Linked DNA regions of Caenorhabditis elegans. Changing the gene in region 2 together with the main gene of any one other region gives a genetic interaction. Each region holds a gene or a part of one and is shown on either strand. Other genes may lie near its edges.

Region 1 (17,709 bases), 8.2 Mb from region 2:
AAACTTTTGGCGCTAAATTCAAAAATTTAAGTTTAAAGTTTTTTTTCGAAAAATGTTGCACCAATCTCATAAAATTTAAATATTCGATAATTTTAGCGCGAAATTCTAAAAATTCCATTTCCTAAAAAAAAAACTACAAAAAATTTGAAAAATTTTGAAACTTAGGCGCGAAATTAAAAAAATTTAACTTTTTCCTGAAAAACCGAACAAAATATATAAAGTACTATTTTTATTATTCATTCGTGAAAAATCCGAATTAAACCGAATATTCTTCCTCATCCTCCTGTTCCAACTTCTCTCGTTCAACTTTTGCCTTCAATCTCGCTTTTTCCTCTTTTTTCGCCGCTTTTTCACATTGACGTCCACGCCACCAGTGACGATAGTAACGAGAAGTTTTTATGTAGTAAAGGATTAATATTGCCAGCAAAATGAAAATTATAGCACTGCCAGAAAGTCTGAAATTCGTAGATGTTCGAATTTTTGCAAGTTCTATTGTTTTTCTTCAATTTTCAGTGTAAAATTTGAATTAAACACCTTAAAATTACTCTAGAACCTAATTTTCAGCCCTTAGCCATCAATTTTCGTGAAATTCGATGTTTGCGTACTTGCGAAGCTACAGTAATCCCAGAAAACTCAATTTTGATGTAAATCAGTTGTTCTAGACAAATCTAAGTTTGAAATTCGAATTCAGCGCCCTAGCATTACCCAAAAATCAAATTTTCAGCCTTTAGCCACATTTTTTCGGCGTTTGCGTATTTCTGAAGCTACGTAACCCGAAATTTCCTGAAAAATGAGCTAGAAGCTCAGGAAAAAATGTTTTAGGAGTAAAATATTGCGCTGAAACCGAATTAAACAATTATTTCAAATAAAAATCAATAACGACAGCTGAAAATTACAGTTTTTGCCGTCAAACTCACATCAATGACTCATACAATTGCTCCTTTTTCGCTGAAATAATAGTTGGTCCAGTCGTTGCGTTCACATTCCACATGTCAACAATAATCGTCTCGTTCATGATGACAATACTGCTTGAAAAATGGAATATATTTATATATTTAGAATGTGAGAAAATATGAATTTGAAATTATTGGCCGGGAAAAACTATATTTTTTCTGTTTTTGAATTTACGTCATTGGTCAGAAATTCGATTACACAATGGAAACTACAATAATTTCGCCAAAAAAATGCAAAAATAACTTCAAAAACTGGCAGAAATTGACAATTTTAGGTTAAGCCATGGTGTAGTCTGCGTGGACAAGAGGATTTTTTTTTGGAATTTTCTCGTTTAACGTTTTTCAAAGTTTTCAATAGATATGTAACACATGATTTTTGAAGTTTTTGTATGAAAATTTGAGCAAAAGTTAGCATTTTTATTTTTTCAAATTTGCAGTCCGCGTGGGCAAGTTTCAAAGCTTCAATTTTCCAATTTTTTCTCGAAAATTTGAGAATTTTTTTTTATTAAACAATTTTCCACGAGGACTACACATTAACAGCATGATACAAAAAGACTTATTCGACCAACTTTGAAGTTTGAACTATCAAATAATAAAAACCGTTTCTATTAGAAGTTTCGGTATCCCTTTTTCGTCTAGAATCTCTCTAACTTTCTCTAGAAATAAAAAAGAAACCTTGTGATTCTTGAACCGGAAATTTTTGTATCAATATAATAGAAAAAACTTGTGATAATATTGAGAAAAATGTTTGCAAGTTGAAACATACGTACATAGGTCAAAAATAGTTTAAAGTTGGTGGAAATTTGAGTTTTCCGGTAGATTATAGGCGAAATCTATGTTTTTCTAACCCTTAAAATAAAAAAGAAAGAAAAAATGCCTGAAATTCCCCGGAAAAAGCACCAAAAATCAATTTTTGACCGAATGGCTCAGTGCGATTTTCAACATCTGCCAATCTGATCACCAGGGTTCGAGTCCGCGGTGTGCCGAAAATTTTTTATTTATTTTTTCTTGCATTTGTAATGCTTTACACATAACGAATTTCAATAAAAATATAAAAACCGTCAAATTTCGCCAAAATGGCTCAGTGCGATTTTTAACATCTACCAATCTCAACACCGGGGTTCGAACCCGCGGGGTGCCAAAAATTTTTATTTATAGTTTTTTTGCATTCTCATCGCATTAGACATTCAGGAACTCAAGAAATTTTCGAAAAAACAAAGATCTTCAAGTTTTTCACTGAAAAACAGATTTTTAAGCCTCGATAGCCTCGAGAAATGGAAATGAACTCAATTGAAAATTGAAAAAGATGAGCATGAGAGTATTTTTTTTTTTTGAAAAAACAAAAATATTTTCTCGGGCAAAGTGACTGACCACACCTCCATCGAAGAAAATGAAATATAAATTGAATCACGAGTTCCTGCTGTTTTTGCGCAGAAAAATATGACTCGAGACATAAATTGTATTTGTTATTCTCCACGTGGAGTACAAAAAAAACCAAAAAAAATATTTCCAAAAAAGTTGTTTCCCACGTGGAGTACACAACTATTTAAATTAATTGCAAAAATGTTCGTATCAATTTTGAGAAGGTAACCAAGAAATGGGCGGAGCTTCTAAAAAACTTCTAAAAAATAATTTTAGTCTATTTACCTTATGGTGTTTAAAGTCTTTGAACTTTCAAAATTTTTGGAAAAATGGGCGTGTCCGGATAAGCCCCGCCTCATTCTAGGCAGAAATTATAATATTTTCGAAAACTGACCAAGAAAGGGGCGGGGCCTTCGTGTAACTTGGCCGCGAGAAATAAAAAACTCGGCCCACAATTTTTGATCGCCATCAATTTTTCTAGGTCATGGAGGCCGATTTTTCTTTTTTCTAGGCAATTTTTCTAGGCCATCAATCATTTCTCGGCCATAAATTTTTCTAGGTTATAAATTTTTCTAGGCCATAAGTTTTTCTAGGCCATCAATTTTTCTCGGTCATCAATTTTTCTAGGCCATCAATTTTTCTAAGCCAAAAATTTTTCTCAGCCATCAATTTTTCTAGGCCACAAATTTTTTCTCGGTCATCAATTTTTCTCGGCCATAAATTTTTCTAGGCCATCAATTTTTCTAGGCCATCAATTTTTCTAGGCCATCAATTTTTCTAGGCCATCAATTTTTCTGGGCCATCAATTTTTCTGGGTCATCAATGTTTTTTCTAGGTCATCAATGTTTTTTCTAGGCCATCAATGTTTTTAGGTCATCAATGTTTTTTCTAGGCCATCAATGTTTTTAGGTCATCAATGTTTTTAGGTCATCAATTTTTCTAGGCCATCAATTTTTCTAGGCCATCAATGTTTTTTTCTAGGCCATCAATTTTCTCGGCTATAAATTTTTCTCGGCCATAAATTTTTCTCAGCCATAAATTTTTCTAGGCCATCAATTTTTCTAGGCCATCAATTTTTCTGGGCCATCAATTTTTCTGGGTCATCAATGTTTTTTCTAGGTCATCAATGTTTTTTCTAGGCCATCAATGTTTTTAGGTCATCAATGTTTTTAGGTCATCAATTTTTCTAGGCCATCAATTTTTCTGGGTCATCAATGTTTTTTCTAGGTCATCAATGTTTTTTCTAGGCCATCAATGTTTTTAGGTCATCAATGTTTTTAGGTCATCAATTTTTCTAGGCCATCAATTTTTCTGGGTCATCAATGTTTTTTCTAGGTCATCAATGTTTTTTCTAGGCCATCAATGTTTTTAGGTCATCAATGTTTTTAGGCCATCAATTTTTCTAGGCCATCAATTTTTCTAGGCCATCAATGTTTTTTTCTAGGCCATCAATTTTCTCGGCTATAAATTTTTCTCGGCCATAAATTTTTCTCAGCCATAAATTTTTCTAGGTCATCAATTTTTTTAGGCCATCAATGTTTTTCTAGGCCATCAATTTTCTAGGCCATCAATTTTTCTGGGTCAACAATGTTTTTTCTAGGTCATCAATGTTTTTTCTAGGCCATCAATGTTTTTAGGTCATCAATGTTTTTAGGTCATCAATTTTTCTAGGCCATCAATTTTTCTAGGCCATCAATGTTTTTTTCTAGGCCATCAATTTTCTCGGCTATAAATTTTTCTCGACCATAAATTTTTCTCAGCCATAAATTTTTCTAGGTCATCAATTTTTTTAGGCCATCAATGTTTTTCTAGGCCATCAATTTTCTAGGCCATCAATTTTTCTAGGCCATCAATTTTTCTCGGCCATCGTTTTTTCGCGTTCATCAATTTTTCTCGGCCTTTTGTAGCGTAGCCGCCGAAAAAGAAAACTCGGCCACCTGCGAAATTCCATTTTCATGAATAAAAATCGATAAATTCGGTGAAAAATTTTTTCCAATTTTAACCGAAATTCAAAAAAAACTCACTCTTCATGTAGAATCTCCTCGATAATTTCTCCTTCCATAAAAGTTGCCATATTTTTATAGAAAAAAAATCAATAATTTTTTGATTTTCTGTTTCAAAAAAGGAATGATTGTTTCCGATTATCATTGGAAAGAAGACGTCCTCCTTATCAAAAGGGGGCTATCTTTCTTTTTTATTTGATCGATTTGTTACACTCTGTGTTAAAAAAAAACTCACTCTTCAGGTAGAATCTCCTCGATAATTGTCAAACCTATTCATCTTTATTTGGCCCAAAATTAACAAAAAAAAGGTTTTTTTTGTGGAAAATGGGATTTTTTGCGGTGGTTTTTTAATTTTCAGAAAAGAAATTCGAACAAAATAAGGCAAATGTTTTCAGAGCTATAAAAGGCACTTTTGATTTTGGGAGGTGGAAGGGAGGTGGTTGTTCACAACAACAACAACAAGAAAATTTAATAATAATAGTAATAAAGAAAACATTGAATATCACGAGATAATACTCGAAAGGGGTTGGGTTGGTAGGAAGCAAATATAGTGGTTCGAGTTGGGGGAAGGAGAGCAAAAAAAATGAGCAAAAATGACTACCGTAATCCCGGCATAAAGTGTGTGTGTATCCCTTGAAGATTTCTCGGTGGAGCGCGTTTGCTTTAATGGTTTTTTTTTGCAATTTTATAATCGAAATTTTTGAATTTAAGACAAAAAAATCCAAGAGTGCGGTTTTTCAAGAAAAAATTGTGAATTTCACGGAAAATCCTAAAAAAATTTAAAGAAAAACTTGTAATTTTTACCCCAAAATTTCAGATTAATTTGAAAAAATTTCTGGAGATATTTTTTCAGAAAAATTGTTTTTAAAAAGCTGAAATTAAGATTTTTTCAAAATTTCGAGTTTTGAGTCAATTTTTCCCGGCAAAAAAGCAAATTTCAAATTTTTTTGAAAATTCCAAAATGCAAATGCGCTCTATCGAAAAAAAGGGGAGCTAACAGGGAAAATTACACGAAAAAGACAAAAAAAAACGAGTAAAGAACGAAAAAAAAGTGAGCGCATAAAAGAGAAAAAAGAATCCCAAACATGAAAACAAGCCAGAGATTAAAGTACCTCCGTATTTATTCGACCCCCCTGCCGAGACTCAATTTTAGGGGTAAAAAGTGCCAAAATTATCAATTTTTTTCGAAATTTTCACATGAAATTGGTCCCCGCGGGAGGTCCACACAGATCGTAATCTCTGGTGGGATGATGAAGCGCCTTTTAAAAAAATCGGCATTAAGAGTGTAAAGTTAATAAAAAAAATAACGAACGAACGAAAAATGGATACAAGAAATTCGAAAATTTGTGTGAAAATTTTCAGAAAAAGTGGAAGAACAACGACACGTTAAGGAGAAGAAGCATGAATGAATATTGAGCATTTTGTGTAGAGGTGTGTGTGTGTGGCAATTTTCTGAAAAAAAAAACTTGTATTACATTTTTCGTGTTGTGAAATTTAATGTGAAAATAAATTTCTAGTAAATAACTTTACTTTTTTCAATTTCCATTAAAAAATAATTTCCAAAAAAAAGTGGAAATTCTCCGCTTTTTTCGGTTTTTTTAAATCGAATTTTTACAATTTTTTTGAAAAATTAATTTTTACAATTTATTACACATTTTTCTCAAAAATTGAATTTTTTCGGCTTAAAATCGGCAATTCTCACTGATTTCACCCTTTTTTGCATGTTTTTTCTTAAAAAAAATTTACACCTTTTGTATCAATTTTTTTAAAGCAATTTTCATTCCAAAAAGTCATTTCTCAATATTTTTCTACACAAAAATAATGGAATTTCCACAAAAAACTGTGTTTTCATGGGTAGGAAAAAAAAAACAATTTCCACGCTATATTTGTAATTTTTCCGCGCGAAAATTTCAATTTTTAGATCAAAATTTATGCAAAGTTGAGAATTGAATCAGTTTCTGTACAAATTATGAATTTTCGCAGCTTTTTCCATGGAAAAAAGGTGAATTTTGGTGAAAAAATTGATTTTCACAATTGTTTCGTGGAATTTTTACGAAAACTCCAATTTTTGTAAGTTTTTCGGGGAAATTTGAATTTTCCGCACCTTTCCGCCCACACATTTACATCACCCTTTTCGGCAATGGAATAGGTGTTGACGCAGAACTTCCAACATTTGATGGTCTTGTCGTCGTAGTAGATCCATTTCCAGTAGTAGTTTCACGACTTTCACTAGCACGTGGTGTAGATGTATCCATTGCATCATCTTCTGGATATCCACCACTAAATGATTGATATGGCTGTTGAATTCCTGCTCCTCCAGCAGTAGTAGTAGTCATTTGACTACCAATTCCGTATCCAAAAGCCTGTGGGGCTTCACTATTTGGTCCGTGACCGAACAAATTCGAGTGACCACCGTGAAGAATGCTCGCCGTTTCTGGGTCTCCTGGCCTGAAAAAAAATTCCAAATTTTTGGGATTTTTCATATACTTGGAGAAATTTTAAATTTAAGAAAAATTGCATAAAAAAGGCTTTTTTAAATTTTTTTCGGGATTTTTTTTAGTAAATTGGCAATTCAAAAAATTATTGCTAAAAACTGATCTTTTTTTCAAATTTTAAAGAAAATTTTCGGTAAATTTATAGTAATTTTTCTTTAATTGGACTTTCTCTACCGGGCTTGGAATTATTTTTTATTGTACTTTTTTTTTTTGGAGATTGTTAATTTCTTAAATATATTTTCAGATTTTTTGAAGCAGTTTTTTGAAAAAAGTCAATTTTTCTTTTCTTTTTTTTCGACAATTTCCTATAAATTCCAATTTTTCGGAATTTTCTTCAAAAAATTCCAATTTTTTCACAATTTCCTCAAAAGATTCCATTTTTCCTTTTTTTTTGTTGGAATTTTCCATAATTTTAGGGAAATTTCTGAAAGTCTGATACTGATACATTTCCTTAAATTTGCTTTTTTGGAGCTTTAAGAAATTTCCCAAAAAAATGCGGAAATTAAATTTTAAAGAAAATTTTCTCTAAGAATTCGAAGTTTTCAGATTTTTTTGGTAAATTATTCTTTTTTTTTTTTAATCCAATTTTTCTGATTTTATGAGAATTTCTTCGAAAAAATTCAATTTTTAGATTTTTTCGTTGGTAATTCATTTATTTGGAAAAAAAAAACCTTTTTTTTTGCGATTTCTTTAGAAAAAATCCGATTTTTTCAGATTTTCTTAGCATTTCTCGGATAAAAATTCCAATTTTTATGGCGATTTCTTGAATAAAAAATTCCAATTTTCCTTTTTCGGCATTTTCTTCGAAAAATGCCTATTTTTCTGTTCTTTTTTTCATAATTTTTTTGAAATTTTTTTTTGGCAATTTTTTCTAAAAAATACCAATTTAACAGTTTTTAAAGCAAATTTTCTAAGTTTTTCAGTTTTTTTTTTTCGGCGATTTTTTCTAAAAATTCGAATTTTTTCGCAAAAATTTCCCACAAATTCCACGCACTTTCTCGGGCTCTTCGCAGCACCAGCTCTCGACATAGACGAAGCCAAATGTGCCACCGAAATTCCACCATGTCCTCCCTTATTCATCATTTCCAACACAGACGGTGCGACATAGGTGAATCCCACAAACGGATTATCACCATTCAAACTGAAATTCGTCTCACACGGCGAATCGACCGGCGTCATTTTTGTGAAACGCGCGTCAAACAGCGACGTATCCTCGTCGTTCTCTATATTCGGCTTGAATGGGGCTTCAAGCTGCCGTGCGTAGACCAGGTTCCAGTCCGTAGTCTTGAAAAACGCATGACTTTTGATCTCTTCCGCGTCACTGAGACCCGCGCCGAGCCGGGTATCCACATGGCGTTTCAAAAGCTTCTTGATCAAATCTCGAGCCTCATTCGACAAATAGGCCGGCAGAGTAAGCCGTCCCTTCAGGATTTTGTCAATCGTTTTTCGGCGATTTTCAGCGGTAAACGGTGGTCCACCAGTGAGCATGTCAAACATCAGAGCTCCGAGGCTCCACCAATCAACAGCTTTTCCATGTCCACAACGCATCAGAATCTCCGGTGCCATGTATTCGATAGTTCCACAGAATGTGTGAGTCTTCTGATCTCCCTCGATTTCCTCCTTACAAAGACCAAAATCTGTGAGCTTAACGTGTCCATAGGCGTCTAAAAGGATATTCTCTGGCTTCAAATCTCGATAGATGATTCCTTGCTGATGAAGATGCTCCAGAGAGACGACGATTTCCGAGAGATAGAACTTTGCGACGTTCTCCATGAACATTCCTTCTCGCTCCAAATGCATGAATAATTCGCCGCCAGATAGATATTCAAGGATTAAATACAGTTTTCCACCGGTTTGAAATGCGTACAATAAATCACAAATAAACGGAGACTTGACTGCTTCAAGAATGTTTCGTTCGGCTTTCGTGTGAGCTGTATCCTTTTGATTTCTGACAATTGTCGCTTTTTGGAGCACTTTCATCGCGAAGATTTGGCCATTGTCGGAGCCCGTCGTTTTTCGCACTTGGAATACCTGGAATTTGTTGAAAAATTTATAGAATTGTACTAAGAAAATAAGTGTTTTTTTTCAGAAGGTTTTCAGGTGGGTTTTGTATTAAAATTCAATTTTTTCGATTTTATTTTCGTTTTTGCTCAAAAATTTGAAATTTACAACATTTTGTTTTTTAAGGCGATTTTTCTGTTAATTTTTGCAAAAAATTGAAAACTTTCACTTTTTTTGTAGGAATTGGATTTTTTACGATTTTGGAAATTTTTTAATGAAATTTATAAAATTGTAATTACGAAAAAAGTTTTTTTTTTCAATTTTTTGAATTCATTTTTTCGGAGTTTTTTTTTGAAAATTGATGTTTTTTCCCCCGCTTTTTAATGGTAATTTTCGTTTTTCGCATAATTTAAAAGGTTTTTTCAGGGTTTAGGTGGATTTTTTTTTTGGAAATTCAGAATTTTCACATTTTTCGGGCGATTTTGACCATATTTAATATTCTGTCGCACATTTTTTTTGGGAAAAATTGAAGTTTACAGAATTTAAATTTTTTAGGCGAAATTGATTTTTTTTCTGTTGCGATTTTGGGCTTTTTTTGAGTGAAAAATTGAAATTGACATTTTTCCAGGTTTTCCAGAGAAAAGAAAAAAGAAATTTGTAGAATTTTTAATCAAAAAAGGAAGTCAGAGGTTTTAATATCAAAATTGTAATTTTTAGTAATTTCTAGTAAGATTTTTATTTTTTTTAATGTACTTTCTGTGGAAATTATTTTACAGGGTTTTGCAGCAAAATTGTAATTTTTTCGCATTTAAGCTGATTTTTGGAGTTTTTCTACAGGTTTTTATCGAAAATTCAACGTTTCTCATGGTTTTCTCTGTAGAAGTTTCGCAAAAAAGTCCAAATCTGAGTTTTTGCTAATTTTTTTAAAATTTTTTATTTATTCAGCATTTTTAGTGCTAAAAATGGATTTTTTCAGTTTTTTAGTAACTTTATTACAATTTTTAATTTTTTTCTTGAGAAAAACGACAATTTTCGAACCTTTCCATATCCTCCCTTGCCAAGAACTTTCAAAAGCTGAAAATCTTCGGGTCCAACACGAACATTTGGTGGATTAATTGCACTGGCACACAGTTGAATCGATTCCATCATCGGATCCTCCATATACGATGAGCTCGGCGGTGGAGCAGAAATTTGTCCCTGGAAAAATGAGAAAAAAAATTAAAATTTGAGCATAGCTTCCGCATCTCCAGTGGTAAATGTGCTCTATTGGCAAATTGTTGGCCGGAATACGGTATTTATTGCATTTTCAGCCGAGAATACCAGAATTCCAGTCGACAATAAGGATAAAGGCACAGAAACCACAGAAATATAATTTTAAACTATTTTTCGGCAAATTTCAGCGTTTCAGCAACGTTGAAATTGTCAGAAGCCGGCAAAATAGTGAGAAATGGTGAAATTTCACAATTTTTTAGTTTTGAGGTAATAAGCTGGGAAAGTGGCAAAAATTTTGCATTTTCGGGGCGAATTTCAGCGTTTTTGACCGTCAAAAACGGCAAAAATCGTGAATTTTCTTAATATTCGCATGGGAAATAGATTTTTTTAGCTCTCAAACTTGTCAAAAAACCATACATCAGCAACATTGCTGTACATGTGATCGTCCTCCATGATTTCCGTGCAGTTGTCATAGTGATATCTGAAATAAAAATTAAAAACATTTTTTTCTAAGTTTTCAGCCATTTTTCGCTTTTAACACACAGTTTTGAAGAAAAAAACGCTTTCTTTTAGATTTTTTTTTCCAAAAAAAAATTGATGGAAAATTGCGAATTTTCCAATTTTTAAAATTATTCAAGTCAAAATCCGCACAGTTTTCGAATAAAATTGATAAAATTTGAAAAACCCGAATTTTCTGTATTTCGCTTATTTTTCCGCAAATTTTTGAAAAATTCACCAAAAAAATCCACTTTCTAGTCTAAAAAATGTCAATTTTCTGTAGTTTCCTCTCTGTTATCACCTGATTAATGACACAAAGCACTGATCATTGGTGCAATCGGAAAATTGAAAAAAAATGAATTTTTTAAATTAGAAAATGATTTTTAAGATAAAAAATTTTACTGTAAATTTTTTTGAAAAATTGTGGAATGTTCGGAAATTCCGAAAATTATGAAAAAATTTTTTTTGTTAAAGTTAGCATATTTCAGCTCAGAAAACAGTTTTTGACAGTCGAAAATGTCATTTTTCAATCTAAAATTCCAGAAAATCACAATTTTAGTTGGAAAAAATCGAAATTTTCACCAGTTTTCTACAATAATTGTAGAAAATTTGAAAATGCAATTATTTTCTCCAAAAAACTGCAGATTTCGAATTTGTCGGAAAAATCTGAATTTTTTCAAAAAACCGAAAAATTTTGTGGAATATTCGAAATTTTAGCATTTTTTCGATAACAAAAACCTGAAAACCAGTGCAAATTTTAAATTTTTCGTGAAAACACCTTTAAAGTTTTTAACAAGTTTTTACAGAAACTTCAATTTTTATCAATTTTATTATAACTGTACAGATTTTGACTTTATAATACGAAAAATCTGCAATTTTTCATCAATTTTCGCAGAAAATTTAAAGCAAAAAACCGATTTTCCCCACAATTTGTATGTTTTTACCCAAAAAAAAAAACTCACGCATGACGCTGTGGCGATGCCTGTGACTCGTGGCCTTCCAGCTCGAACTCGAACACGTCAGCCATCGTTTTTTTTTCGTGTTTTTGTGGATTTTTTATCACAAAAAAAATTAATTAGGTACTATTATAGATATTTGTATTTTTTGTAATTAATAAGGAAAAAAGCAGTGATAATTTGGAGCAGCACGGAGTGGTGTGTGTTTCCAAAGAGATCAGCCCATCCAAATGTGTACAATATATAAATTGGTTCGTATAACCTGCAAGAAGGTAAAAAATTATTAAGATAATGGGAATATCGATTGATTTTTGTGAAAAAGATAGAGAGATACAGAGATACGATAATTAATAATAGAAATAAACGCACAAAAAAAACACATTTTTCTGTCGATTTCTGGGAATTTTTAAATTTTTGATTTTTTTTTCGTGCATTTTGAAATGTGGAAAATTATATTTAATTTGCAATTAAAAGAAAAATCCTCCTTTTAAATCGATTTTTTTTTTGAAATTTCAGGTTTTTTTTAAATGACAATTAAAAGAAAAAAAAGAGTCTAAAATGGAAATTATTGTATATATTAAAAGTCAATTTTTAAATATAAAATTTATAAAATAATGAATTTTTTCCGAAACAAAAAAACAAGAAAATTCGTAATTTTTTCCGTTTTTCACTGAAAAATTGACTTTTTTCAGTTTCAAAGCACACAAATCGTGGCAAAAACGAGAAAAAACTGTCTCCATTATCACTTTTCAATCAATTTTTTGGCGATAAGAAACTATAAGAAGCCTAAAAGATTTGATTTCGTCGTTGCGAAATTCCAAAGTGTTCTGGTATTTTCTCAAACAACAAAAAAAAGTGTTTTTCGACCCCTCTCCCGGGAGATCAGGTGTTTTTTATGTCATCATTTGTTCAGAAAATAATGATCACATGGGGAATTTGCGGTAATATTTCGTCACTTTTAATAAAAAAATATCAATAATAAATAATTTAAAGTTAAATTAAAACTAGAACATTTATTTTTAGAAGCAATCATTTCAATTTTCAAAACAAAAAAAAATCGATTTTTTTTTTGAAAAATCCCGAAAATTTCCAGTTTTAGCGGAAAAAAATAAGATTTTTATCGCTTTTTTTCTGAAAAATACCAAAAATTTCGGATTTTCCGTTTTTCGATTAACAAATCCGAGAAATCGGAGTTTTTCAGAGCATTTTCTTGATAATTTCACTTTTAACAAATTTTAGAAAAATTATTTCATGTCATTAAAAAAAAAACTCAAAAATCCGTTAAATTTAAACAAAATTGTTATTAAAAATTCGGTTTTTACACCAAAAACGGAATTTTCCTGTATTTTTCAGAGAAAATGTATTTTTTGTTCACTAAAAACGGAAATTTACCGAATTTATTGGTATTTTTTCGAGAAAAAGTCGTCAAATTAAAGATATGACAGGAGAAAAAGAATTTTTTTTTTTCGATATTTTCAAATTTCGCAAAAGAATTTTAAAAGTCAACTATTTAAAATACTCTTATAATTTTAAACCGAAAAGTTTATTTTTTGAAAAAAAGTTTGTTTTAAATTTTTAACTTAAATTGGTCGAAAATCCCCCCACCAGAAAAAAAATTCCAAAAAAAAAAGTTCAAATCAATCGATAGTGCTGATTTGACACAAAGCGTGGAAAGGTGGTCTGGTGTAAGCGAAGAGAAACCTGCGGACGGACACTGGGGAGGTGACACATACACAAGAAATAGTACGTCAATCGACAGAGTGCACCAGAGAACGATCAACCTAACCAGAGAGATGAGAGAGAGAGAAAGAGACATAGAAACGTCCCTTCAACCAAAAAAGTGAGAGAGAGAGAGAAGAGACACAGAGCAAGCGCATCCGTCTCTTTAAATTTGATGGTGTCTATATTGTATTGGGGAGCGTCTTTCTCTCGTTTTTCACTCCCCCCACCCGCGGTTTGCAACAATTCAGAGAGAATTACAAATTCACGCTTTTTCGCATGGTTCGAATTATCAAATTTCGATTGAAATTTTTGAAAAACTTTGGGTTTTCTTTTAAAAATTGCGAGAAAACGAGAAAAATCATCCGATTTGCACTGGAAATTGCCGAATTGCACGGGAAAATTGCCGAATTGCACGGGAAAATTGCCGAATTACACTGGAAAATTGCCGAATTGCACTGGAAAATTGCCGAATTGCAATGGAAAATTTCCGAATTGCACTGGAAAATTGCCAAATTGCACGGGAAAATTGCCGAATTGCACTGGAAAATTGCCAAATTGCACGGGAAAATTGCCGAATTGCACTGGAAATTGCCGAATTGCACGGGAAAATTGCCGAATTACACTGGAAAATTGCCGAATTGCACTGGAAAATTGCCGAATTGCAATGGAAAATTTCCGAATTGCACTGGAAAATTGCCAAATTGCACGGGAAAATTGCCGAATTGCACTGGAAAATTGCCAAATTGCACGGGAAAATTGCCGAATTGCACTGGAAAATTGCCAAATTGCACGGGAAAATTGCCGAATTGCACTGGAAAATTGCCGAATTACACTGGAAAATTGCCGAAATGCAGTGGAAAATTACCGAATTGCACGGGAAAATTGGTGAATTGCACGGGAAAATTCGAGCTTTGCTTGCCGATTTCAAAAAACACGAAAACAAAATACTACCGTACACCCGGTCGTGTCAAGACCAGGGACAGTGATTTTGTCGGTGTTAAAATCGGTTTCTCGGCGGTTTTGAGTCATTTTACAGCTTCAAAAGCCCGTAAAAACGCGAAATTTAGAATAAAGACAAAAACGAGCGAAATTTGCAATGAACAAATTCTCTTCCGGAGTCATCTAGTGAGCCTTCACCTGCTCGCCGAACAGCCGCTCCGGCTAATCAGTGGCTGCAAACCGGGCTTGTCGAAAAAAAGAGAACTTTGCAAAGTGTAAAAAGACCAAACTTTTTATAGGTCACTTGTCGCTGTATCAATTGTTATCGAGCGATCAATAAGCAATTTCAGAAATTGAAAGTTTTTGGCAAAAACTTGGCAAACTCGACAGAAGCCGATGAAAAACCAATTAAGAATAAGCAATTTTGCCGTAAAATGCTTCTTTTCTTGCATTTCCTCCAATTTGCCGGTTTTTTTGGAAATACTAAGCAATCGGTTGGGCAAGCCAATGAAAACCTTAGTTTTCGCCGATTTTCGATGAATTTTCCAGAGGAAAATTATTAACTTCCAAGTTGTCTACCACAAAAAATCGCAAATTTCCACTATTCGAAATTTGTGAGAGACTTCTTATCGGTAATAGTTTTATTGGCATTCACTCCAACTTGATAATCTATTCTCTGTCGCTTGTACTCTGACTAAACGCCCGGCCAACAGTAGCTGCGATAGTTCGGCGAGACTACAAAGGGAGAGAAAGTGAAAGTTGCAGTATTAGTACAACAGAAATTCTCTGAATAGAAAAAGAAGAAAGAGCAACTAGTAAGAGTCCTGAAATGGGAAATGAATCACGAATGCTTGTTTACGCGTGTGAATTCACACGGCTTTCACCTTGACAACGCCTGATGAGGAGGAAATGATGACGGAGCAGATGGGGAAGCAACAAGGAATTTGGATTATTAGGAAGAGTAAAAACTAGGAAAATTGGCAAATTGTACTGGAAAATTGCCGATTTGCACAGAAAATTCTTCCTATTAAAAACGGCGTAAAAAACTAGAAAAATTGCCGAACTGTATAGGAAAATTGCGGAACTGCAGGAAAATTGTAGAATTGCACAGGAAAATTTCCGAATTTCAAATAAAAATTGGTTCTTACAAAAACGGCGTAAAAACTAGGAACATTGCCGAATAGTAGGGAAAATTGCCGATCTGCACGGGAAAATTGCCTAATTTCAGAGGAAAATTGGCAAATTGCACAGAAGAATTGTATCTTTCAAAAACGGCAAAAAACGAGGAAAATTGCCGAATTGAAGAGAAACATTGACGAAAAAACATTGTTTTTGCCGATTTCACGTTAGAAAAACGCAAAAACAAAAACTACCGTACACCCGGTCGAGCCGAGACCATAGACAGTGATTTTGTGTTTTAAAATCGATTTTTCCGAAATTGAAAAATCGCATTTTGGGAATATTTCGGAATTCAGAAAACTAAATTAAAACAGAAAGTCATCGAATTAGTCATTAGTCAAAAAAAATCCGCCACTGGTAACTACTTATATAACTAAAAAGCCTAACTAGCGATCTAATCTGAAAACTTTCACAACTTTCACAGATTCCTATTACTCTTACTTATTTCGAAAAGTGAGAAACGTTGTAAAATAGTTTCGATGGAGAAGAAAAGTAGTGTAAATTCGGTTCGTTAGTTAGTGTCACTTCAAGAAAAAAACCAGTCAATCGGAGGGAGAGAGACGCAGACTGCTGGAGTATAGTACATGAGAAGGACATTTGTGTCACTGATAATTAGAATCTAATCAGTGGAGGGCAGGTTGCAATGATCCAAAATCGATAAAAATCGATTTAATCCAAAATTTTCCAAAAAAAAAAGTGTGTTTTTGTTTTTTTTTTTTGAAATTTTGATATTGAAATTCAAAAATTCGTCGCTTTTATTATTGTTTTGACGTTTTATCAGTGAACATTGAAAATAACTACAATACTACAAATTATCTCGAATTTTACTAATTTCTGGACATTTTTTAGTGTTTAATCTAATTTTCAAAAATATTTTTGTTAATGTAGATTAAAAAAAGAAGTAATTTTCCACTTTTCTTGCTAAAAAATAGCAAAAAAATGTGAAAACATTGAAAAATAGCCAAAAATTGAGTTTTTTTAAAAGCAATTTTTGAATTTAAACAGTTAGAAACTAGGGAATTGCAATTTTTTAGTATTTAATCAAATTTTTGCAGATATTTTTGTTAATGTAGACAAAAAAAGTAATCTTCCACTTTTTTTCGCTAAAAAATTAGCAAAAAAATTTGACAACCTTGGAAAATAGTCAAAAATTGAGTTTTTCGAATCAATTTTTGAATTTAAACATTTAAAACTTGCGTTTCAACTAGATTTTAGCTTAAAATTATTTAGAATTGATATTTTAAAGTCAAGTTTTGACTTTAAAATATAAGTTTTTCCTAATTTCAAGTTAAAATCTGATTTTTTGGCAAGTTTTAATCATTTTAACTCGAAAAATTGAGTCAAAAACCTCTGTTTTTGGCAATTTTTCAAGGTTTTCAATTTTTTGCTAATTTTTTAAAGCTTTTTTTCTCCAAAAATTCATTTTTCGAGCTCAAAACGGCGAATTTCAGCGAAAAAACGATGAAAATAACACATCGAAATCCAGTTCTCTTTGGCATATTTGTTGTTGTTGGCTGGTGGCAGAGGAGAAGGAAAAGTCAACTGAAAGAGACCGAAAAAAACAAAAACAATTGCTTCGCGACACGAGGAAAAACAGAAAACAGAACGAAAAAAAAAGTAAAAACGAGGCGAAAAATGTTCGAAAATAAACAAATAACGCTGGCTTTTTTCTTTTTTGTTGCCAAAATGTGTGGAAACTAATCGAATTAAAAGTGAAAATGCTCAAAATCTCAGTGAAAAACATGAAAATAGAGTGATTTTCACTAGAAAATCGGCTAAAAATCGAATTTTTAGCTTGCAAAAGCCCGTTTTTTGTAGGGAATTTTATGGTTTTTCGCTCTGAAATCGGTTTTTTCAATGAAAATTCGATTTTCTACTGACAAAAAGGTAATTTGAACGATTTTTAGATTAAAATCTGCATTTTTATGTGGATTTTTAGTTAAATTTCGATTTTGGTATACATTTTACGAGTTTCAGGCAAATTTCCGCTCTGAAATCGATTTTTTTGATCAGAAAATCATTGATTTTATTATTTTTTGGCCTAAAAATCCGCATTTTGAAGTTTATTTTCAGTGCAAATTTAGTTTTGGTGAATTTTTTCCTAAAAAAAACGACTAAACGTGGGATTTTTTAGCTAAAAATCCCTATTTTTGTCGCAAAAAATCGAAATTCGCAGTTACAGAGTCAAATGACGAAGATTTTCAGCTAAAAAATGATTAAAAAGCACTAAAAGCATCAAGCGTGGGCGAGCACAATTTTCAATTAAAAAAAAACACACACAAACATAGATATACAAGTACCGTGCGAAACGGCTACTGTAGCTCAAGCCAGCAAAAGGGGAAAAATCGATGAAAAATGTATTAAAGGGACAGAAAACTACGAGACAGAA
Region 2 (14,446 bases):
AAAACCTCGAAAAATCTCGATTTTTCAATTTCAGCTAAATTCGAACTGCGACCAATCAGCGATTCGCCCCGCCCACTTTTGAACCAATCAGAAGGAGTGGGCGGAGTTCAGAGGCGCTGATTGGTCGTGCAGTTCTCATTTTGGAGGGAATTTAGACAAAATTGAAATAACGAGGTTTTTTCTAAAATTGATTGGTTTTAAAAAAAAACAATTAAATTTGATTGGTTCAAAAGTGGGCGGGGCGAATCGCTGATTGGTCGTGCAGTTCGAATTTAGCCGAAATTGAAAAAATGAAGTTTAAAAATTTTTTTCTTGACCATTTTTTTTTCTTGAATTAATTCAAGAAAAATCTCGAATTTTCAATTTCGGCTAAATTCGCTCAAAACTGAAAAATCCCCGACCAATCAGCGCCTCTGAACTCCGCCCACCCCATCTGATTGGTTCAAAAGTGGGCGGGGCGAAGCGCTGATTGGTCGCAGTTCGAATTTAGCCAAAATTGAAATTTTTTTGGCTTTTTGAATAATTTTTTCGTATTTCTTTAGTGGTTTTTCGGAATTTTAGACAATTTTGGATGCTTTTTTGGAGCGAAATTTTTTTTTTTTTAATATTTGAAAAAATTTAGGAATTTTCCCCGAAAAAAATCGATACCCCGAGAGAAAATAGCTGAAAATTGAAAAAAAAAGTTTTTTTGGAAAATGCCGGAAAATTTTACAAATTATCATCGACTTTCAGCCTTTTTTCCGAGTTACAGCGAATTTTTAATTTTTTAAATCGGAAAATCGAAATTAGGAAATTTTCATTTAAAAATTGTATAATTTTTCCGCTTTTGCATTAATTTTTTTTTTGAAAATTCAATTTTCCATCCCTACAAACTATTTAAATCGATTGCAAAAAAAAATACATTTTCCCAACGAATATTTCCAAAAAGATTACAGGAAAATTGATAAAAACCCAACAGTGTCACGCCAGTAGTTCCAACAAAAATTGGTGATAATATTTTAAAAAAATCACATGGCGGGGGGGGGGGGGCAATAGAGTGGAAAACAGAAAGAAAAAAAAGAAATAAATAATAGAGAGAAAAAACTTTAAAAGACTACGAGAGATTTAGAGATGAAAAGAAGAAATTTCGGATGGAGAGAGAGAGAGAGAGGAGCAGAGAAAAAGAGCAAAAAATGATTGACAAAAACAACCATCGTTTATGTGTGTGTATGAACGGTTGTGCGTGGGGAATATATAAATATAGTTATAAAAATTTGAAAAAAAAACCAAGTGTGGGTGGTTTTGTGGGAATACATTATAGGGTGGTGGGCGGCAAATGACTTTTTTCGGCAAACCGGCAAACCGGCAAAAGTTCAATTTTGATCGGCGAAATTGTACGCATCCTATATGAAGGTCCTAATTCTATTGTGAGGAAGTAAGCAACTTCTATGACAATTTAAGAGAAAAAATCTGATATCCGGCAAATCGGCAAAACGGCAAGCTGTCGGAAATGAAAATTTTCGACAAACGGCAAATCGGAAAGTTGCCGGAACTAAAAATTTCCGGCGAATCAGCAATTTGCCGGATTTAAACATTTTCGGCAAACGGCAAATCGGAAAGTTACAGGAATAGAAAATTCAGGCAAACTGGCAAATTGCCGGAATTGAAATTTTCGGCAAACCGACAAATCGGAAAATTGCAAAAATTGAAATTTCCGACAAATCGGCAAAATGCCAGGATTGAAATTTCCGGCAAATCGGCAAATTGCCGGAACTGAAAATTTCCGGCAAATCGGAAAATTGACGGAATTGAAATTTTCGGCAAACCGGCAATTTGCAAAAATTAAAATTTCCGGCAAATCGACAAATCGGAAAATTGCCAAAATTAAAATTTTCGGCAAACCGGCAAACCGGAAAATTGCCGGAATTGAAATTTTATGAAAAGCGGAAAATTACCGGCATTTAAAATTTCCGACAAATCGGCAATCCGGCAATTTGGTTGAACTGTAAATTTCCGACAAATCGGAAAATTGCCGGAATTGAAAATTTGTCACCAATTTGCCGGAACTGAAAATTTCCGGCAAATCGGCAAACTGCCGGAATTGAAAATTTCCGGCAAATCGGAAAACTGTCGGAATTGAAAATTTCCGGCAAATTGAAAAATTGCCGGAACTGAAATTTTCGGCAAACCGGCAATTCGCCGAAAATAAACATTTTGAAATTTTCCGGCAAATCTATTTTGCAGATTTGCCGAATTTGCGGACAGAAAAATTTGCCGACCGGCAATTGCCCAAAAATCCCTCTAAAATTTCCGGCAAAATGATATCCGGCAAATTGGCAAACCGGCAATTTGATTTGCCTTCAAAATCAAATTAAAAACTAAATTTCAACAAACCCACGCGAAATTAATCAATATTCCGTATCAAATCACCAGGAAAACCTAAATCAGAGAATTAAACTCTTTTTGCATTAATTTTGGCGCAAAACAAACTAAAAATGTAAATTAAATTTTTTGGAAAGCCCCAAAAAATGAGAAAAACGATTATTATGCAATGCAGCACACATCACTAAAAACTCGCCGATTTTCGAAGAGCGCACACACACGAGGAAGAGGGACGAGAGAGTACACCTGGTAAAGAGTACGCAGACATTCAGGGAATAGTAGTGGAGAGACGCAGGGACACACGCAGGGGGAATGGAGAATACGAAAACAACGACGACGAAATAAGTTGATGGGTATTCTGAATCGAATGATGATGATGACGAAGGAGAAAAAGACAATGATCTTCAATGTCTTAAAATGAACACAGCCAACTGGAAGTGCAAATTTAGTTCACCAAGTTTAATACAGTGCGTCCAACTTCTATAGCAGATCAAGCCGAAATGAGACACTCTGGCACCACGTGGTAAAGTTGCAAAATGTATTAAAATACATGTTTTATGTATTTTAATACATTAATTTTTCAGCAATTTCAAATTATCCAGCACTACTTGAATAGCCCCATAAATTTTTAGAATGCGTATTGCACAATATATTTGACGCGCAAAATATATCGTAGCGCGAAAACTACAGTAACTCTTTAAAATACTACTGTAGTGCTTATGTCAATTTACGGGCTCTTTTTAATTTATTTCAAAATCGAGAGCCCGGTAAATCGACACAAGCATTACTGTAATCTTCCAAAGAATTACTGTAGTTTTCGCATCGAGATATCTTGCGCGTCAAATATGTTGTGTAATACGCATTCTAGGAATTTTTTGTTCCCGTAATAGTTATTTCTAATAAGAATATGCCCTAAAATTCCCGGAAATTTTAAATCGCATTTCGAATTTTGACAATTTACGAATAAAAAGAGGGGCATTGAATTTATCTTTTTGCGAAATCATGCGAAATCAGTTGAGAACTCTGCGCCTCTTCTCCTGCATTTTTTGTAGATCTACGTAGATCAAACCGAAATGAGGACACTACATGAGCTATGATGCATTTTGCAGCCTCCGCTATTCTTAAATTGGCAAATTTACCGAGTTTGCCGAGCACGGCAAATTTCAAACATGTGGGTTTGCCGAATATGCCGCCTGGTTGAGATCATGAACATTGCCGAGAAATAACGAGAGCCCAGAAGTGGGTGGCGCTTACATAAGCTCCGCCCATTTAAAGGCTAAAAATTCTCATTTTACTTTGAGCTTTTCCTCAATTCTTCATGATTTTCAGTGCCATTTTTGAGCCAAAAAATCTACAGAAAAAGTGCAAAATGATGGTGCCCGGTGCCTCTACACCAAGAGAGACCACACGTGCAGAAAACCGAGAGAGAGAGAGAGAGAGAGAGAGAGAGAGAGAGAGAGAGTAGAGACACAGCGTATTTCAACTGGAAACTGACACCGAGATGCACCAAAGGACACCGAAATGGAGGTCAGCTGAGACGAAGAGGAGGAGGACGAGGCGGGAAAAAAACCAACTGAGAGGAATACGAAATGTGTGTGTGTGTGTGTGATGTGATGTGATGAACATGTTTCTCAACGTAAACAACGAGAATCTGATAGATTGAACAAAAATAGGAAAAAAAAAAGAATGGTGTTAGGTTTCGCGAGCGCGCGGGAAATTCGAATTTTTGGAAAAAAAAAATGTTTCTCTCAAATTTCTTAGAATTTTCAAATTTTCAGGAATTTTTGAAACTGGGCACTTTTCGATAGTTTTTTAAAAAATTTTCAGATTAGGCAGTATTTGCCGGAGTTGGTAGAAAGATTTCTGGCAAAGTCGGCAATTTGCTGGAATTGAAATTTCCGGCAAAATCGGCAATTTGCCATTTTTCAAATTTTCGGAAAATTTGGCATTTGCCCAAATTGAAAAATTTTAAATTTTCGGCAAATCGGAAAATTGCCGGAATTGAAAATTTCCAGAAAATCGGCAAATTGCAGAAATTGAAAATTTCCGGCAAATCGGCAAATTGCGGGAATTGAAAATTTCCAGCAAATCGGCAATTTGCCGGAATTGAAAATTTCTGGCAAATCGGCAATTTGCCGGAATTAAAAATTTCCAGAAAATCGGCAAATTGCCGGAATTGAAAATTTCCAGAAAATCGGCAAATTGTCGGAATTGAAATTTCCGGCAAACTGGCAATTTCCCGAAACTGAAAATTTCCGGCAAACAGCAAAGTCGGCAATTTGCGGTTTTCCAAATTTTTGGCAAATTCTGCAAACCGGCAACTAGTCGATTTGCCGGAAAAACGGCAACTGCCGAAAGTTTCGGTAAATTGTGGGTTTGCGTAATTTAAAAAATCCCCTCAAAAAATCCGGCGAATTGATATCCGGCAAAATTGCCGGAATTGAAAATTTCCGGCAAATCGGCAAATTGCCGGAATTGAAAATTTCCAGCAAATCGGCAATTTGCCGGAATTGAAAATTTCCAGAAAATCGGCAATTTGCCAAAAATCGGCGTTCAAAAACTGACAAAAAATTCAGAATAAATTGCGATTTTTTCAAAGAAAAACCAAATTTTGACCAATAAAAAAATTCTGAACACTGTCAATTCCATATCATGTAATAAAACAACGAAAAAAAATGCATCACATGACCTAATCTTTGTCATTTTTCATGAAATCGTTGATTTTTGGTCATTTTAGAGGTGTTTTTGGTCGAAAAAATCAAAATTTTTGCCAGATTTTGAATAGATTTCATGAAAAAAAACGATTTTTATAGAGGATTTGGTGTCAAAAAATTGTGGAAATTATTAGATTTGGGGAATAAAAATCCAATTTTTTTCAGATAAAAAATTAAAATCTAAAGCGAAAAAATGGCCAAAAAATGGCCCAAAAAATCTACATTTTTGCCCATTTTTCTGGAGTTTTCCCAGAATTTTTTCGGTTTTTGGGGTTAAATTTCCGGGAAAACATAATTTTTTTAATTTTTTAATTATATTTTCGGAATTTTACCGCCAAAAACTCATTTTTAATGGCAAAAAAACATAGAAAAATGGTTCAATCAATTGAAAATTTCAATTTTGTCCAGAATTCAATTTATATTTAATTAATATCCAATTTTTCACATTTTGGTAGTTTATTTACCATTTTTTTTTTGATTTTGGCCACAAAATGTACCTAAATTAACAAAAAAAAGTTGGTAAAACTGGAGATTTTAGTGAAATCTGGGGGATTTTCCGGGATTTTTTTTTCGGTTTTTGGGGTTAAAATTCCGGAAAAAACTCAATTTTTTCAGTTTTTTATCGAATTTTCGGCATTTTAACGTCGAAAAACTCAATTTTAATGGCAAAAAAACATAGAAAAAAGAACGAAGGGTCAATTCAAATGTTTTCGCGTTTCGTTTTTTGATCTTTGAGTTGTTGTTGTTGTACCCCATCCGCCGCCGTTTTTTTTTTCAAATTTATTTTTTTCCCGCCAAAAAAACCTAAAAATCAATAATTTAAACTATAAAATAGCAAATTATTACGATTTTTAATTGAAAAATTGAGCAAAAAATTGACATTTTTTGTAAAATAAACACAAAAAAACCAATTCCCACGTGGCACAGATTGTTTGCTCATCGTTTGTCGGTGTACTTTTTGGAAAATATTTATTTTTAAGGGGGTATTTCTGATTGAAAGAGCGAAAAAAAGCGAAAAATGAGTGAAAATTTGGAAGAAATCGAAGAAAATTGGGCTAAAATTCGATTTTTTTCGCAAAAATTTGATTTTTGAGCCAATTTTTTGTAATTTTTTGTATTTTTTTTCACCAAATTTTGCTGAATTTTACTTGAAATTTTAGAATTTTGGATTATAAAATCCAAAATTTTTCGATATTTTTTGCAATTTACTGGTCAAAATTGCGGAAAAATGGTTCAGAAATTGGCGAAAATGGGAATTTTCATCAATTTTAAAGCGATTTTTGGTTATTTTTTGAGATTTTCCCTAAAAATCTCCAAAATTCTGCCTAAAACATCAGAAAATTCGTTATTTTTATTGCTAAATTGCTGCAAATGGCCCAGAGATTGACCGAAGTGTGATTTTTTAAATAAATTTTTATCAATTTTTATCAATTTTAAAGCGAAAAAACCAATTTTCACATTAATTTTGTTGGTTTTTAACGAAATTTTTGGGATTTTCTCGATTTTTTGTGTGATTTCGCTAAAAATTGTGTGTATTTTTAAAACAAAATCGCTTAAAATCGATATTTTCAAGTAATTTTTTCAATTTTTAATTGCTTTTTTGAGCAAATTTTGTGGTTTTGTCTGTTGAAATCTTTTAAAAACCTTATTTTTCTCGATTTTTTCCTAGATTTTCCACTTTTTTTCACGAAAAACTTCGAATATCCGTTATTTTTTCACAAAGGCAGCCTAAAAGTGCATTGAAAAGACCTTGAAAATGGTCAAAAATGACGTGAAAAGATCCAATTGGCACCGTGCCAAGACTATTGCAACAAATTCGGCGTAATTTGAATTGGATAAATGGAATTTTACGGGCGGAAATTGGGAAAAACTGGAAAATGACGGGAAAATCGTTCTGTGAGCGAAGAATCAGATGGTTTAGCAGATTTTTAAGGTTAAATTTGATAATTTAGACAAAAAAAAAGACTAAAATCGGCTGAGAAATGAAGAAAATAGCAAAAAATCGGTGAAAAATCAAAAAACCCGCCTGAATCTCCCTATTTTTACGATTTTTGTGGGAATTTTAGTGGAAAAAAAGAGAAAATTACTTACTTTTGTCGAAAAAATGATAAAAATCCGTGAAAAATAGCTGGAATATTGAGAAAAATCGAAGAAAAATGTGAAAAACGAAATTCAAAAATCAAAAACGAAAGCGCGGGTACGCAAACACCGCTGCACACATTCGCAGGTACAGTACCCCGGGAAAATGTTTAAAATCAGTTAAAATGTCGATTTAAAGCTTTTTTTCAATGGAAAAATACAGTTTCTACATTTCATAAATTGAAAACTTGAATTTTCAGTTCAAAACATTGCAAAAATGCACAAAAAACATCTCTAAAAATGGTGAAAACTCTAAATTGACAATGGAGCGCACTTGCTACTACCAATATTTTTTGCAAAAAAAGCGACATTTGACCGGTTTGAACTCTTTTGAACCCCACGAAATTAGGGAAAAACACCAGGAAAACAAGGCCGAAAGAAGTAAACAACATTTCCGCCATGAAAAAGATAGAAAAAGATGAAATCTGATGGTCGTTTATCATCTTTTAATGCACTTTTACTATTTCTACACAGATTTCTATAGAGAGGAGGCAATGTCATTGATAGATATCCTTATCAATTAATCCGCCGATATTATTTGGGAACATTCAAGAAACAAAGAAACTAGGAAAAATAGAGAGAAAAACAAGAATTAGAAGGTTTGGTAAAAAATTTAAAATTCGAGAATGACGTCACTACATAGCTCCTTCGTTTCTTTGCATAACTCTAATTTTTGATCAGAAAAGTGTCAGAAAAGTTTCGCGCCATTTGCGTAATTATTTTTTTTTTCTCAAAATAGCAGGAAAAAGGAGGGAAATTCGACTTTTTCTGCCAGAGGGGAAGAGATTCGAGATTCAGCTTCAATTTCCAGGTCGTATATCTAGGCACGTATCTCAGCGGGAGAAATAGTTACAAAAATGTTGTCAATGAAGTACTTGTAGAGCTCAAAATTTCCTACAATTCACTAGTGGAAAATTTTTTGCTAACACTCTTCCTCAATGAGATAAACGGCCGTAAATGAGGCTCTGCCCTTCGCGCGGTTTCAAACTCAGCACAGCTTGGCGCTTATTTCTCTGCGAGGGAGAAAGTTACAAAAAATTTGTTAACTAGCAATTTGTAGAGCTTCATATTTGCCACAATTCACTAGTGAAAAATTTTTTGCTAGCATCTTTCCTCAATGAGATAAACGGTCGTAAGTAAGGCTCTGCCGCACTGACCTTTCGCACTTTGCACAGCTTGGCGCTCATATCTCTGCGGGGAAAAAAGTTGCCAAAAAGTTGTCAACTAACAACTTGTAGAGCTTAAAATTTTCTACAGATTACTAGTTTGGAATTATTTGCTAGCACCTTTCCTCAATGAGATAAACGGTCGTAAGTAAGGCTCTGCCGCACTAAGCTCTCGCACTCACCACACTTAGACGCGTGTACCTCAGCGAAGAGGAAAGATAATAAAAAGTTGTTAACTAACAACTTGTAGAGCTTAAAATTTGCTATATTTTTGTGTGAAAACAGTTTTTCATAACTCTGCTCCACACAGATATACACACATTTAAAATTAGATTCACAAAGTCTTGCAAACCTAATTTAGCACTCCTAAACTGTAAATCAGCAATTTTTTTTGTTAAAATTTCCACTAAAAAGTTATAACAATATGTTATTCAAAAGAAAGAACGCAAAATAAACTATAGTATAAAAACTAGACAAACATATTTTGATGATATTTTAAAGTCAGAAAAATAGATGACAAAATGGCATCTGGATTTGCTCGGTGAGTCAAAGTGTACTTTAAAAGTTCAACTATACGATTTTCAGGAAATTATGATAAAAACAAGAGCTTTATTTACAGATAATTATTAAAAGTTAGAAAAAAATATATTCAAGGAAACTGAGAATCATGTAGAAGTACCCATACAAGGGAGTAATGAAAATTTGAAAATTGAAAATTTGTTGAACATTGTCAAAATCTACCGCCAAACTTGAAAACTACCGTAGTCGAGATGGTAATCAGGTAGCAAATGACTACTGTAGACAGTCCCAGGTAATAGATGACGTCAGGCATACAGAACTCTGTTTGTGACGTGGCACGGGCTTCTTGCGGGGAACTTTGTTTTTCCACACGGAATCTACCGTTCACGTAGATGATGTCGGTACGGGTGTTGTTGTTATCTGGAAGTTTAATATTGTGTCGATTTACGAGATTTTGTCGATTTACGAGATTTTGTCGATTTACGAGTTTGGGTCGATTTACGACATTGTGTCGATTTACGAAAGTATGTCGATTTACGAGAGTTTGTCGATTTACGACATTGTGTCGATTTACGAAATTATGTCGATTTACGAGAGTTTGTCGATTTACGACTTTGTGTCGATTTACGAGAGTTTGTCGATTTACTAGGACTTTTCGATTTACGAGATTTTGTCAATTTACTAGAACGTGTCGATTTACGAAATTGTGTCGAGTTCCGAGATTTTGTAGATTTACGAGATTTTGTCAAGTTACTAGAATGTGTCGATTAACGAGATTTTGTCGATTTACGAAAGTATGTCGATTTACGAAATTATGTCGATTTACGAGAGTTTGTCGATTTACGACTTTGTGTCGATTTACGAGATTTTGTCGATTTACGAAATTATGTCGATTTACGAGATTTGGTTGATTTACGACATTGTGTCGATTTACGAAAGTATGTCGATTTACGACTTTGTGTCGATTTACGAGAGTTTGTCGATTTACGACTTTGTGTCGATTTACGAGAGTTTGTCGATTTACTAGCACTTGTCGATTTACGAGATTTTGTCAATTTACTAGAACGTGTCGATTTACGAAATTGTGTCGAGTTACGAGATTTTGTAGATTTACGAGAATTTGTAGATTTACGAGATTTTGTAGATTTACGAGATTTTGTCAAGTTACTAGAATGTGTCGATTTACGCGATTTTGTCAAAATTTCCGGATTTTAGTTGGGAAAATCTTGACTTTTTTTGAAAATAGAAAATTTTGCGGAAAAATTTGAAAAATTTCATTCAGAAAATTCGAAAAAAACTGGTTTTTTTTCTGAAATTATTCAAAAATTTTGAATTTTCGAGAAAAAAAAGTATCTCTTACTTTTCCCTACAAGTTGTCGCCGACTTCTCTGACTCGATTCAAATGAGACAAATCCGCAATTGTTGCTCGCCGAGCACAGGTCCTCTTCCTCGCCATTTATGATTTCTAGGTGCTCGGTTCTGAAAATTAATGGGGATTAAGGGGAACAGAATTTGGGAGAAAAATAATAATATTCAATAAAAAGTTTAAAAAAAATTGTTTAGTTTGAAAAAAAAATTTTTTTTCAAAAAGCTTTAAACTTCAAAAGTTTCATATTTCATTCTAAAACTCAATTTCCGCTCTGAAAAATTCAAATTCCCACCAAAAAACCCACTTTTTCACACAAGTCCTCACTGCACATCTGATAAAAACCTCATATTCCTCTGGAAATTTGAAAGCCAGCGAAGTCGCATAAATTTTCGAGAAATCCTGTGAATACGTGGTGTCAGAAATAAGCTCCTCGTCTAAAGAGCATCCATTTTCCAGAATTTTCATCCCTTTTCCGTTTTCTGACTCGGCAGAGCACCTCTCGAGTTGAATTCCGAATATTCCTGGAATAATTCGGGATTTCGGGTTTTTAAAAATAATTTTTTCTTGTTCAGGTTGTTGAGAGCTTCAACATGACCCCAATATTGGCTAGTTTCCGCCCAGTTTGGGTCCCGCCACGAAATTCCCCGGGATACTGTAGTTGTTCGTGGTGGGACCCAATGTTGGCGGAACCTGGGCATGTTTATACGCATTTTGAAGCTCTCGATGTGGTTAACATGAGGAAATACAAAAATTTGGAAAGTCGACGAGGAAATGTGAAATTTAGAAAAATTTCAACAAAAAAAAATTCAAAAAATGTTAAAAATTTTTTTTTGAATTTTGTAAATTATTTTTTTGCCTAAAAAACTTTTTTTTCTCAAACTCTTTAAAATTACCGTGTTCCTGTTCCAATTTCCACTCGAACATTATAGGATCGCCAACATTCAACACTTTCTGCTCATTGGCTTCAAAATTCTGAGTTTTCTGAAATTTTTTCTAGTTGAAGTTTCAAATCTGTCTGAAATTACTCACCGTTGTCAAAGATTCCTCTCCAGCTGGCAAAATGTGCATTGAAATTTTTGGCAGTTGAAAATTTCCGAGAATCAGCTCGTGCTCTTGGATTAGGCTGAAAAAATTCAGATTTTTTTGCTGAAATTTTGAAAAATATTTTCAAAATCGAGAGTCTAACTAAATTTTGAGAAATTTTAACAGTTTCAGCACAACGAGACCTTTAAAATGACCCCCATCATGTCTGTGTTCCGCCTATTTTGGGTCCCACCACGAAATCCCCCGGGGTACTGTAGTTTTCGTGGTGGGACCCAAATTTCCTAAAAACATGATGGATGTTATTTTAAAATTTTCGGTGAACCAAATTCTAGTGCTTCATCATTTTTACAAAAACAAAAATTAAATTTCAAAAAATGTCAAAAAAAAAAATCTTAAAATTTAAATGTTTCTTAAAATTCAAACATTTTGTATTTAATAACACAAAATTCAAAATGAGCTCATTGAGACCTTTCTAATGACCCCCATCATGCCTATATTCCGCTGACTTTGAGAAATTGGGTCCCACCACGAAAACACAAGGGGGTACTGTAGTTTTCGTGGTGGGACCCGAAATAGACAAAACCTAGGCATGATGGGGGTCATTTGAAAGCTCTCGGTGAGCTCAACATGAAAATTACAATGAGAATACAAAAAAACAATTTTAACTTAACAAAACTTTAAAAAAAAACATTGTTTTGTATTTTAAGAGTTGATGCAAAAATTCTCACTTCTCAATTCCAATTTCCGTTTTTCGCTTAAAATCTTCAAATTCACAATGTGCACGAAAAGCTCGATCTGAGGGTGTCACCAGTGTTGGATGGAAGGCCACAATCACTTGTCCCGACAAAAGCCACATTTTTGAATTCGGCTTTGGCCACGCTCGGAAACCACATTTTTCCAGCTCTTGAGCATTTATTTTGAGCTCCAGAGCTGTGGAATTCTGGGTAATTTGGTAGGATTTGGAGCAGGACGGAGTGCCGCGAGACCCTTTTACGTAGATCTGAAATGAATTTTGGAAATAAAGCGGAAAAATGTACTTTCTGTTATAAACAGCATTTTGTAAACTTTTACAGAAATTTTTTTCCTTTTTGGGATTTTTGGAATTTTTAAAAATAATTTTTTAAATAAGTTAAAATTTTGTGATATCTGGAAAAAGTGTAATGTTTGGAATGTCTAGAATTTTATAAAATTTGGGTCCCGTCACGAAAACCGCCCGGGGTACTGTAGTTTTCGTGGTGGGACCCGAAATAGGCGGAACCAACCTAGGCATAATGGGAGTCATTTGAAAGCTCTTAATGAGGTCAACATGAAAATTTAAATAAAAATACAAGTGAATAATTTTAACCTAAAAAACATTTTTTGAAAAGTTTCAATTTTTTTTGAGTTTAAGAGTTAATGCAAAAATTTTTAATTTATTAATTTTCAATTCTTTTCAATGCCAAAACTTTGACTTCAGCAAAAAATCAGATATTTTTAAAACTTTTTTCTGTTGGAATTTTAACATTTCTGACAATTTTAATTTTTGGAATTCCCGACAAAAAACGTATTTTCTGGATTTTTTAAGATTAAAATGTTTAAAAAATTAATAAAAATTCCATCAATTCCACAAAAAAATGTCTCTATAAATCCCCCACGTATTTTCAAACAAATGCCCTTTAAATTGGTATTGCGGGGTAACCTAATTTTTATAAAAATAAAGAGAAATTCCGGTTAAGTAAACAATTCGAGAGAAGGGTGTGAAACTTCCCTAATTGAAAAGTGTTTTGGTTTAATGCAACAATTCGGAAGGAGGTGGTTTTGGTTCAGATGATCGAAAGGGCTACTTACCGTACTACTCAACTTTTGGCAGATTACTTTGTTTTGGGTTTGTTTTAAGAATATCAGAAAAAGGCTTTTTTTTCAGTTGGTTTAAGCCTAAGTCTAAGCCTGAGCCTACTTACCTGTCCCTCAAAAAAGTCTTCAGTCTCCGCAACAAGTGAAATCGCATCGGATCGACACGAGACAAATGGTTTCCCTGAATAGTTTATTCTTAATTATAGGCTTTTTCACTTTTTCACTTACCAACTATCCGATTTTCGAATGTTTTCGCTTCTGAGGATGAGATCTGCAATTTAAGAAACGTGACCTACTTTTCAAGTTTCAGGCCTCCAACTTACTGTTATAAAAATCAATAAAAATGGTACTGTGGAGAGGAGCATTCTGATAATCTGAAAAAAAAAATCAATATTGATCGAATAATAGGTAGTAAAAAAATTAGTACATAAACGAAATATAATTTTTAAAACATGGTGCATCGAAAATGTTTGATTTTTTTGGGAAAAATCGTTTTTTTTTCTATTTTTCGAGAAAAAATTTTGAATTTTTTGATTTTTAGTTATTTATTTTTGTAGACTTTGTAGACTTTTTGATACAAAATTTTACAAGATTTTCAATTTTGGCGCAAAATTTAAAAAAAAAATATCGGTAAAAATTCGAATTTTTTCGATTTTTTTTTTCTGAAAAAATAATGTTTCAATTTCTTAATTTTTTGGCGCATATGTTTAAAAAATTTAATCGATGTTTTTTCTGACTTTTTTTTTTGAAAAAAAACAACAAATTTTTCAGGAAAAAAAATTTTAGGTCTACTATTTTTAGCGGAAAATTTCACAATTTCAAACTTTTAAAAACTCAATTTTTCGGGTAAATCAATTCGAATTATTCAATATTTAAAAATTTAGAAACTCGACAATTTTCTTTTAAAAAAATTTGTTTTCGACATTTTAGCGCTATAATTTTCAAATCTTAATCTCAATTTTTTTGGGAAAAAGCAAATAAAATTGGTTTTTAGGCACTTTTTCTACAAAATACCTAGGCGTAGGTAATCCCATTTGAAATACTGGGTCAAACGCCTATTTGGGGCAAAAAACGGGACCACCTGCTGAGGTGGGGGGCGGCAAAAATCCAATAAAAAAGCAGTGAGTGATGACACATAAAAGAAGGAAGAGGAGGAGGAGGATGACACCAAAAATGACCTTGAACTTCAATCTTGCACTAGTTATGCAACACAGACGCTAACGAGATAAAAAAAGAGTGGTCCATTGACACTTGTTGTGCTATAAGGAAATGGTGTAAAGGAGGGGATGAAAAGGGGGGGA

The links.
Region 1: of daf-2 (region 2) and rsks-1, changing one enhances a phenotype caused by changing the other (phenotypic enhancement), as found in Caenorhabditis elegans (one study listed by BioGRID).

The regions. Positions count from the first base shown.
Region 1 is NC_003281.10:11,239,153-11,256,861, reverse strand, and holds rsks-1 (Ribosomal protein S6 kinase beta), read right to left. Parts: upstream 11,743-17,709; 5' UTR 11,552-11,742; coding exon 11,487-11,551; intron 10,508-11,486; coding exon 10,444-10,507; intron 10,012-10,443; coding exon 9,853-10,011; intron 8,845-9,852; coding exon 7,808-8,844; intron 6,767-7,807; coding exon 6,439-6,766; 3' UTR 6,423-6,438; intron 5,771-6,422; 3' UTR 4,581-5,770; downstream 1-4,580. Other genes in the region: Y47D3A.32 (uncharacterized protein), read right to left, coding at 257-455, 918-1,028, 4,340-4,389.
Region 2 is NC_003281.10:3,033,616-3,048,061, forward strand, and holds the start of daf-2 (Insulin-like receptor subunit beta), read right to left. Parts: upstream 7,232-14,446; 5' UTR 7,167-7,231; intron 3,929-7,166; exon of another isoform or gene 1,926-3,928; intron 1-1,925. Other genes in the region: cutl-25 (ZP domain-containing protein), read right to left, coding at 9,111-9,319, 10,260-10,378, 10,573-10,789, 11,162-11,249, 11,298-11,391, 12,041-12,312, 13,253-13,326, 13,374-13,416 and 1 more. UniProt on the Caenorhabditis elegans protein: Insulin receptor-like tyrosine kinase which regulates metabolism, controls longevity and prevents developmental arrest at the dauer stage.